Linked DNA regions of Bombyx mori. The protein of the gene in region 1 interacts with the protein of each later gene in a pairwise test. Links are inferred from orthologs where the notes say so. Each region holds a gene or a part of one and is shown on either strand. Other genes may lie near its edges.

Region 1 (4,058 bases):
AAAAATGATAATATGAAGTGAAATAAAATGAAGTTAATTAATTAATATGAAACATGAAATGAAATGAAATGAAATGAGATGAGATGAGATGATATGGGATGAAATATACATCTCAGTAAAATGGTGGCCATTTACTGAAACTATTTCAGTGGACTTTTTGGAGGATCCCGAGAAGTTATGTCCATAGGCTTTGTTTTATTTTCCTACATTTGTGCACTTTCACAAATACTAAGCAGTTAGTAAACCACCGTTATTACGCATTTAAGCCCGAAGAAACACTAAATAGGCAAAATAAAGCAAATCCCGCAAGTTCACTCAAAGGCGGAAACAGTGCTTTTTGTGTTTGAGAGTAAAATGTTTGGGTGGGTTTACTACCGGTGGGTTTTACTAGTGGTAGGTAGTTCTTGTGAGTCTACACGGGTAGGTATCACTACCTTGCTTATTTCTGTCGTGAAAAAGCTATGCGTTTCGGTTTGAAAGGTGGAGCAGTCATACTGTAATAAATGAGACCTTAGGACTCATATCTTGAGGTAGGTGGTTATATGTACGTTGACTATGTCTATGGGCTCCGGTAATCACTTAACACAAGGTGGGCCGTGAGTTCGTCCTCCCACCAAAGTAAAAAAAATGTAATCATTCTAGAATGAAATGAAATGGAGTAAAATGAGGTATGATTGAAAAATAGCGTGGCTATTGTGTAAAATGAAAAATAACCTCTCAGTGAAATGGCAGGAATTTATTGAGAGTTCAATGGACTTTTTAAAGTGAAAGACTGTTTACACTTTTACAAATGTTGAATTGTAATATGTCATTATTAAACGCTTAAACACGACGAAGCACTAAATTATTAAACCTCGAGATTCTAGTCTTGAGTTTACCTTCCATGTCAAAAGGCATAACTTTTCGTGCCAGAAATAAGTTGGGTAGTACTTAGGACACCTGTGAGCTTATAATACGCCATACCACCAGTGAATTGAAAACTGTTTTATTTAGTCAATTTATAATTTTGCTGTTGTACTAGTGGAATAAAAACATAATAATGCCTGAGAAAGTGCATCAGCATTGAAATAGCTGGTTATGTTAAAAAAATTAATTAGATTTTTTACGAATTCCTATAATTTGATGATTATACTGAAGACATAATTTCTAATTTCATCGCACTTTTCCATTTAAAGCTTAGAAACACTCTAAAGAAAGTCTTGTGTAGGTAACGTTCTTTTTACTAGGTGGACACAATAGATAGACCAGAAAAATGTTTATGGTTTTAAATATTTTCAAGAAATCAAGGGAGCCAACATAGGCAACAAGCAACATACAGAAATAGAAAATAAAAGTGTATTATTGTCTTTGGTTGAGTAAACTCTTGTGATGTCGTCGTTGAGTATCGAGTGTCGTCACCTTTTTTAAATTTTTATCTAGGTAATTAACAACAATATTTTATAACAGTATTAATCTCAAAGTTGGAAGTGTTTTAGTTTATTAATTTTTAGGTCTTTTCCTCACAAACAAAGTAAAATTAAACGAAGCGATGGCGGCCATATTAAAAAAACATAACTGAGTTCAGTTTACAATCTTTTGTTATCTTTTCAATCTCTCCTTTTCATTTAACTTTTGGTAAACATTAATTTATTATAATACTTCTATATACTGAGCTCATTATTAGTTCTAATAACTTATCGAGTAATCACTTCATAACGGGATTTATTTACTTTGTCATATAGCTTGTTGACGCGTCTCGTAATCTTCGTTTTCAAAAGACCGAAACGGGTTTTCTAATATACTTATCTAATATAAAAATATGTTCCTCTTGTTTCAGCTATTCTGAAATACTTGGTGAACGTGATAAACTGACTAATATACGTGTCTAAAAGTGATTTAGAGAATTTATTTAGTGTTGGACTTGGACAAATAATAATTAGTGTGATTATAAGTTTCTAATTTTAGTCGTCCCTAGCTAGGGATAAATTTGGCAAAATGATGACCGAAAATAGAATTAGTTCAAGTAATCACGTCGGAAATAGTATCAGTCAAACTAAAGGGTAAGTATAAATTTAATAAAATGTCCTTTGTCATGCTAACTGCATGTAGAATCACACGAAGCAATATTCTAATCATGTAAACGCATTTTTCAGAGAGGTCGACAAAAGCATCGACGACGTTGGTTGGAAATCAAAATTAAAAATACCCCCAAAAGACAGAAGAATAAAGACTAGTGTAAGTTGGCTTAGTTACTAGAAATTACGGCCCACATACAATAGTCATTGGAATTTAGACAGTCAAAATATAACAATTTAAAAACAACTTTAGAACATTTTGTGGTATTCTACAATTGCATTATTGTTATACACGAATAATCCAGTTATACACTGAAAATTTAAATTTCCAACAAGCTTGCTTGTTTGCTTTTAAACAACAAACAAAAATAAAATTTATGGGGAAGTATAGTTCTTGAATTGTTTTATTCTGTTAAAGTAAAAGAAAAAGTATTTGGTTGATTTAATTATAAGTGATTTTTGTCTTTACAATCTCCAATCTAATACATTGTTGACAAACAGAATTCAATTCTGTTTAAATAGCTCCAATGCTACATTAATTACTACTTTAAACATTTTGTATTTATTTAGGATTTTTTTTATCATAACATGTCTATAATGCAGTTGTAATAAAATTAATCCTATTGTAAAAGAATTTTGTGTCTTTAAGCTACACTATTAATGAATTAGGTGAGTTCTATTGTCTGCCTTAATAGTAATTAATATCAAAGAGTACCTCAGTTCTTGATGCCCACATAGTAATGATGGTATTCCTTATTGATTTTTCAAAACACTTAGCAGCATATATAGTTAGCTTTATTTAATTATGCAATCTCATAAATCCAATGGTATATTCTGATTATTGGAAATATAAAATATTGATTTTTCATTTTTTAGATCATATTTGTGATTGATCATTCTTATAGATCATCATCATACATCATTTTAAGAATATATTTAGATTATAGTGGACATAATAATCAAATTTCGTTTCTAGGATGTCACAGATACTAGAGGCAATGAGTTTGAAGAGTTTTGTTTGAAGCGAGAATTGTTGATGGGTATTTTTGAAAAGGGATGGGAGAAGCCATCTCCTATTCAAGAGGCCTCAATTCCTATTGCCCTAAGTGGAAAAGATGTACTTGCAAGAGCTAAGAATGGAACTGGTAAAACTGGTGCTTATTGTATTCCAGTTTTGGAACAGGTAATTTGTTATATGTAACAATAGTTTTCATTTTTATGTTTTTAATGTATGATGAAATATTTGGATTCCCCTTCACTTTTTATAAGTGAGACAAAACAGAACTGATTAAAAAAAACTATGTTTTAAAACAAGACTGTGTAATTATTGAAATTACAAGAGTGAATTGTTTTAGGTTGATCCTAAAAAGGATACTATACAAGCTTTAATTGTTGTACCAACTAGAGAGTTGGCACTCCAAACATCACAGATTTGTATTGAACTGGCAAAACACACAGACATTCGTGTAATGGTTACTACAGGAGGCACAAACCTTCGAGATGATATAATGCGTATTTATCAAAATGGTAAATATAGATACACAAATTGAAATGGAAATAATTTCAAAATAGAAAATATTCATGGAATATACACTTTATTTCTAGTACAAGTGATTATTGCCACACCTGGGCGTATGATTGATCTCATGGATAAGCAGGTGGCCAAAATGGATCAATGCCGGATGTTAGTTCTTGATGAAGCAGACAAACTTCTTTCACAAGACTTTAAGGGCATGCTGGATATGGTTATTTCAAGGTTAGCGTTTGTTAGTTTCATGTGTAACAAATTCAGTGACCAAGAAATGCTAAATAGTGCTTCTCAAAATAAATGTCATGTGCCATCTCATAATTTCAAATACAGTGTGTGAATTAAAAACATTATTGATGGATTTTAGATTACCTAAGGAACGCCAAATCTTGCTGTTTTCTGCAACTTTCCCTCTGAGTGTAAAACAATTTATGGAAAAGCATTTGAAAGAACCTTATGAAATAAATCTCATGGAA
Region 2 (4,799 bases), on another chromosome or scaffold:
TATCCATACCCCATTCTGATGAAATATAGCATAAGGAGATAAGTATGTGATAAGATAAATGATAAATCATTTAAGATAATACACATTTAATTTTGACTAATTTTCACTAAGATGACCTCGAAGACTCTCATAAACTCTCATTATTGTAATTGTATAAAAGCCTACAACAAAGAGACATGAGACAAATTCAGATGAATTTTATCTTTCAGTCTGTATATTTTTTTATTTATTCCTCTGCACTACAGATATTTTAGGGTTTATAAGGATCCATAATGTTTTAATCATTATCAATTACAAGCTAAACAAATTAAACTAATACATATTGTGATGATAAACAGTTTCCTTTGATACTTCAGTATTGTACGTGCTCATAGATAATAAGATAATTATATGCACTACTGCATATATAATTAGAGAACACAGTACAGCAGATAGTTTAATTTATTTATATTTGTGCATAGTATAATACAATTTAAATTCACAAATCACTTTAGATAATTCTATAATGTGAGTTGTGCATTTACTAATTATGTTTGTTTAACAGATGCTCTGTTAGTGTTTGGCTCGTTTTCCAACATGACCTTGGCTAATGTCATTACTTATTATTCATGTTAACAAGAACACAACAAAACCCTCTAGATATTCATAGAACTTAGAATGTTATGTAATTTCACTAAGAAAATGAAGATTTTTATTTTGAAACTTACCAATTTTATCTACTTTTGGTCTGACATTAACAACAGCACCACAAATCTCATCTGAATTCTCGAAATTTTCACCAATTAAAAGAAGAACCTGAAAATTAAATACAATATCTTCAATTTTAATGCATCTCACACACATCTCTGGTTCCTTGTTGTAGGTGCTTACTGGTCACATCCTTCCACACATCCACATTACTTCAAACAAAGATCAACAGAACATAGAGCCAAGCATACAGCTTGTAGGTAATGAGATAGGAGATGATCCTTCATCTCCTTCCTACAATACAGTTTCTATCTGTAACTGTATTCTAATATTCAACAGGATTTGAGTGGGCAGCCTTAACTATTTGAGGCATGATTTGTGGTTTCTTAGAAACCAATGATCTTAAATAAGCTACAACATCTTATTAAATGTTTATAAACATGGGATAGTGCAATCAAGCTAATATTCACTCACAAACATGTGCTCAGAAAAACTTGTCATATTTTTAGAAAATCTTTTCCTTTCATTATGTCAAACTTGATACTCAAAAAAGAAGTATTCTAAAACGGTATATAATAAAAAAGTTTAACATACCACATCTAACCAGAACCTATCTAAATCAGTAAAGCGTTGTTTTTTCTCAAGACTGATAAGCCATCTTCCTCCCATCTTGTTAGCATCGTCTTCCCACATAGGACGAATGCCTTGCTTGAATACTGCATAGTCATGACCTTGGCGAAGTTCTGACGGTAGCTTAATATGATGGTACAATCTGTAATGTGCAATAACAGTTTTGCTTAAATAAAAACCTACTAATTACTAAATTGACTACTCAGAGTAATTTTTGGCATTTTCTTATTATAATGGAATGAATCTATAGAATTAATGAATGAATACATGTTGACAAAAATAGAAACCATGTTTAGCACAGGGGGCTACGACAGACACATTGTATCTGCCATTTGACATCTATCAGTAAGCAATGAGTAGTCACTGGTTCCATAAGTCACTCATTATTTTTGATGTATTTCTTAAAAGTTTTTTGTGCAAAAACCCCTCAATGATTTTTTGAACATACTTGATGTATTGGTGCGCGAAAGGGAAATATGTCATGGACCTATGGCATCCATCACTCCATTCTACATGTTAGATACATTATTATTATAGAAAATATAACAAGTAAATAAAAGAACAGATGATTAAATCGACAACTAATCACATTAATTATAATAGATACGTAATAATTAGCTCTATAAGAAAGTGTTCTAGTTTAATCTTGAGCAAAATTAATTCTGTTTAAGTTCAGGTTCCATCAGAATTTACTTTCTCATCTAGGTTGCAAATGTATAGAAGTTGCATGAATGTACTTCTAAAATGTATGAAATTTATAATTTACTTCTGTAACCGGCATTTTCCTTTACCTCCAAAAGTCTTCAACTGTGTCGAATGTAGTCAACTCAATAAGATTCTCCTCCCATGTTTTGTTTCGGTCATTGTCGTAAAACCAGAGACTCCACTGGTTTTGTAACGGGTGCTTGATCAAAAATTCAGGGGGCACCTCCGCGTTACTGTTGGTCTTCGTTTCAGTGGTAGTAGACCCCTTAAAAACACAGGTCATTTTTATTAGTGAACCTAACCTAAAAAAAATATTGTTATTTTCGTAGAAGTCGTTTAACGACTTAATCCGGAATATTTTTACACAGAAAACCACTCGAGCGAGGTAAAGTTATAATTTATACTTGAAAACTAGACAATTATGCTAACAAATGTAACAGTGAAAGTTAACGAAGCCACATCAGCAAATTGCGGCAAAATTATAGGTTTTACGATTGTATAACCGGCAAAACGAGGTAGAAAATTACTTTGTTTTCTTAATAATTACATCTACCCACCTCTACTTCTTCTGTAGTATTTCCAGCCATATCTTGAGAGGATAACGATGCAAATTTCCTACGAAAAGGAGCGACAGAGTCAACGGGGTTGCCAAATCAGAAATCGCGTAAATTATTTATTATTTTATAAAGTGGATGTGCGCTAATCATGGTCTAGATTTATTTAAGGGTGTCATTTTTTTGTCTACCTATGTTGGTGATCTCATGGGATTATACCAGCTTCACGAAGCGAGTAGGCGAGTTCACGGGGCTAAGCCTGGTGAATTTGCTAACACTAGCCCTATTAAGAACAGTGCTTCGCAGTATCTACCACCAGATCGGAAACACGACCCACTGAGAAGATTCGGCGAGAAACTCAGTGGGCTGATTAACTCAGGGTTAATTTGCTCGCCGAACCCTTCGTCGCATTCGAGAGGAGTGACGAGAATGGTCACCAGTACTGGGGGGTGCCTAAAAGCACCGATAGTGGATCGCGAGGATCCGAAATGACGTGTTTTGGGCAAATGGAAAATATTAAATCACGGCATTTCCATCATCACCTTATAAACACAGGCCTTTTCCGAAGTTGGCTACAGTGACCAGTCGAGCAGATCTCGTGACCTTCACCAGGTCGGTCCTTCGAACCGTTGTGAAAGGCCTACCCACAATGCGCCTTACAGCGTGCGATTGCCATTCGAAAACTTTTGAGCAGAGTAGCCACCTGTCTTACCAGCAATATACCAAAGCATAGCTGTGAAAAGTTGTTTCGCTGCTGACCTCTATTTAGAACTAGCTAATAGAAATCATCGTATGATATCCTTATCTATGCACAACCTCTTTTTTTAAAGGGATTTTATGACCTGGTAACTAAGACCATTAAGTCTTATTTTAATTTATTTTCTTATGTTTATGAAAAATGATAATATGGAGTCAAATGAAATGAAATGAAAATGAAACGAAATGAGATGAAATATAACCTCAGTAAAATGGTGATCATTTACTGAGACTTTTTCAGTGGACTTTTTGGAGGATCCCGAGAAGCTACGTTCAGCGGCTTTGTTTCATTTTCCCACATTTGTGCACTTTCTCAGATACTAAACAGTTAATAAATCACCGTTATTACACATTTACACCTGAAGAAACACTAAATAGACAAAATAAAACAAATCACACAACTTCACTTCTCGAGTTCCCGCCAAAAAGGCATGCACAACCCTATGCGAGCACAGACCGGAAATAAATTCATAATAAAATTGTAATTTGTAATTCACAATTCACCAAAGTGTATAATCTATGCAATTCACATTATTGATCGGTTTCAAAACTCCGTGTGCGTCGTCTGGTTTGCCGGCTTAATCGACGGTTAATAATTAGATTATACAGTAACAAAACAAAATTTAATACATCACTGTAAAATGTCAGTTCACAATATCTTATTGGATTTCTCGATTGAAGCGGCCCGTCTGGAAGATGAAAACGGCCAAAAAGATATCTTTGGACAATTGGAAACTCTATTAAAAGAATATATACCAAATTTGATCCTAGCCACCGACATAAAATTGGAAGATGGTTCATTGAAATTATTAACCGGTAATAAAGGAACGACTGTATCCGTTAGGATGTTTGACCGAGGTTTCATTACTTTAAATATTGAATTTTACAAGGGCGGAAATGAGGAGTCCGTGATCGATCACAAGGTGAGGATTATATCGATTGAATGTATTGAGTGCTATTATTTTATTTTGGCACATTATATTATTATTGTAAAGTCTTTGCGAAACTCGGTAGAAAAAATAAGAAGTACTAAAAATAGTTTAACCATTTTATCATATGATCTTTTCTATGCATTGTTAAAAATACTAAGATTTTAATTTAAAAAAAATTAAGCATTAACTGAAGGACCAATTTTTTTATGGACTACCTTAATTGCATAAAAATTTGCAAGCCTTCAAAGTCGTTGTAATACTATCTTGCTTATTTTAATGTAGAGGACAGTTATTAATTTAATGGAAGTTATACCTCTACCGGGCAACTTATTTGCAATTAACTCATTCAAAGAATCCTGAAAACAATAAAAATATAATCTGCAATTTTGTTCACAGACTGCCAAAGAACTTGAAAGCAAAATTAAAAAATATATTTCTAGTATAAAGTCACAAACATATATTCCACTAAAGAGATGTTTGTTTGGTAGATATTATCCTAGTTCAGGTATGTAAATGGCACTAATTTTCTATTGAT

Evidence for each region.
Region 2: the proteins of ATP-dependent RNA helicase me31b (region 1) and mRNA cap-binding protein eIF4E interact in binary tests that used the Drosophila melanogaster proteins (3 or more experiments, as listed by UniProt). The link is inferred for Bombyx mori from reciprocal best matches to the Drosophila melanogaster genes me31B and eIF4E1.

The regions. Positions count from the first base shown.
Region 1 is NC_085118.1:10,825,331-10,829,388, forward strand, and holds the start of ATP-dependent RNA helicase me31b, read left to right. Parts: upstream 1-1,258; 5' UTR 1,259-1,419; exon of another isoform or gene 1,420-1,614; intron 1,615-1,816; 5' UTR 1,817-1,974; coding exon 1,975-2,039; intron 2,040-2,132; coding exon 2,133-2,214; intron 2,215-3,030; coding exon 3,031-3,237; intron 3,238-3,409; coding exon 3,410-3,581; intron 3,582-3,659; coding exon 3,660-3,810; intron 3,811-3,949; coding exon 3,950-4,058. UniProt on the Drosophila melanogaster protein: ATP-dependent RNA helicase which is a core component of a variety of ribonucleoprotein complexes (RNPs) that play critical roles in translational repression and mRNA decapping during embryogenesis, oogenesis, neurogenesis and neurotransmission.
Region 2 is NC_085128.1:2,391,489-2,396,287, reverse strand, and holds the start of mRNA cap-binding protein eIF4E, read right to left. Parts: upstream 3,017-4,799; 5' UTR 2,610-3,016; coding exon 2,580-2,609; intron 2,288-2,579; coding exon 2,109-2,287; intron 1,460-2,108; coding exon 1,282-1,459; intron 796-1,281; coding exon 708-795; intron 1-707. Other genes in the region: spermine synthase, read left to right, coding at 3,974-4,255, 4,661-4,769. UniProt on the Drosophila melanogaster protein: Recognizes and binds the 7-methylguanosine (m7G)-containing mRNA cap during an early step in the initiation of protein synthesis and facilitates ribosome binding by inducing the unwinding of the mRNAs secondary structures.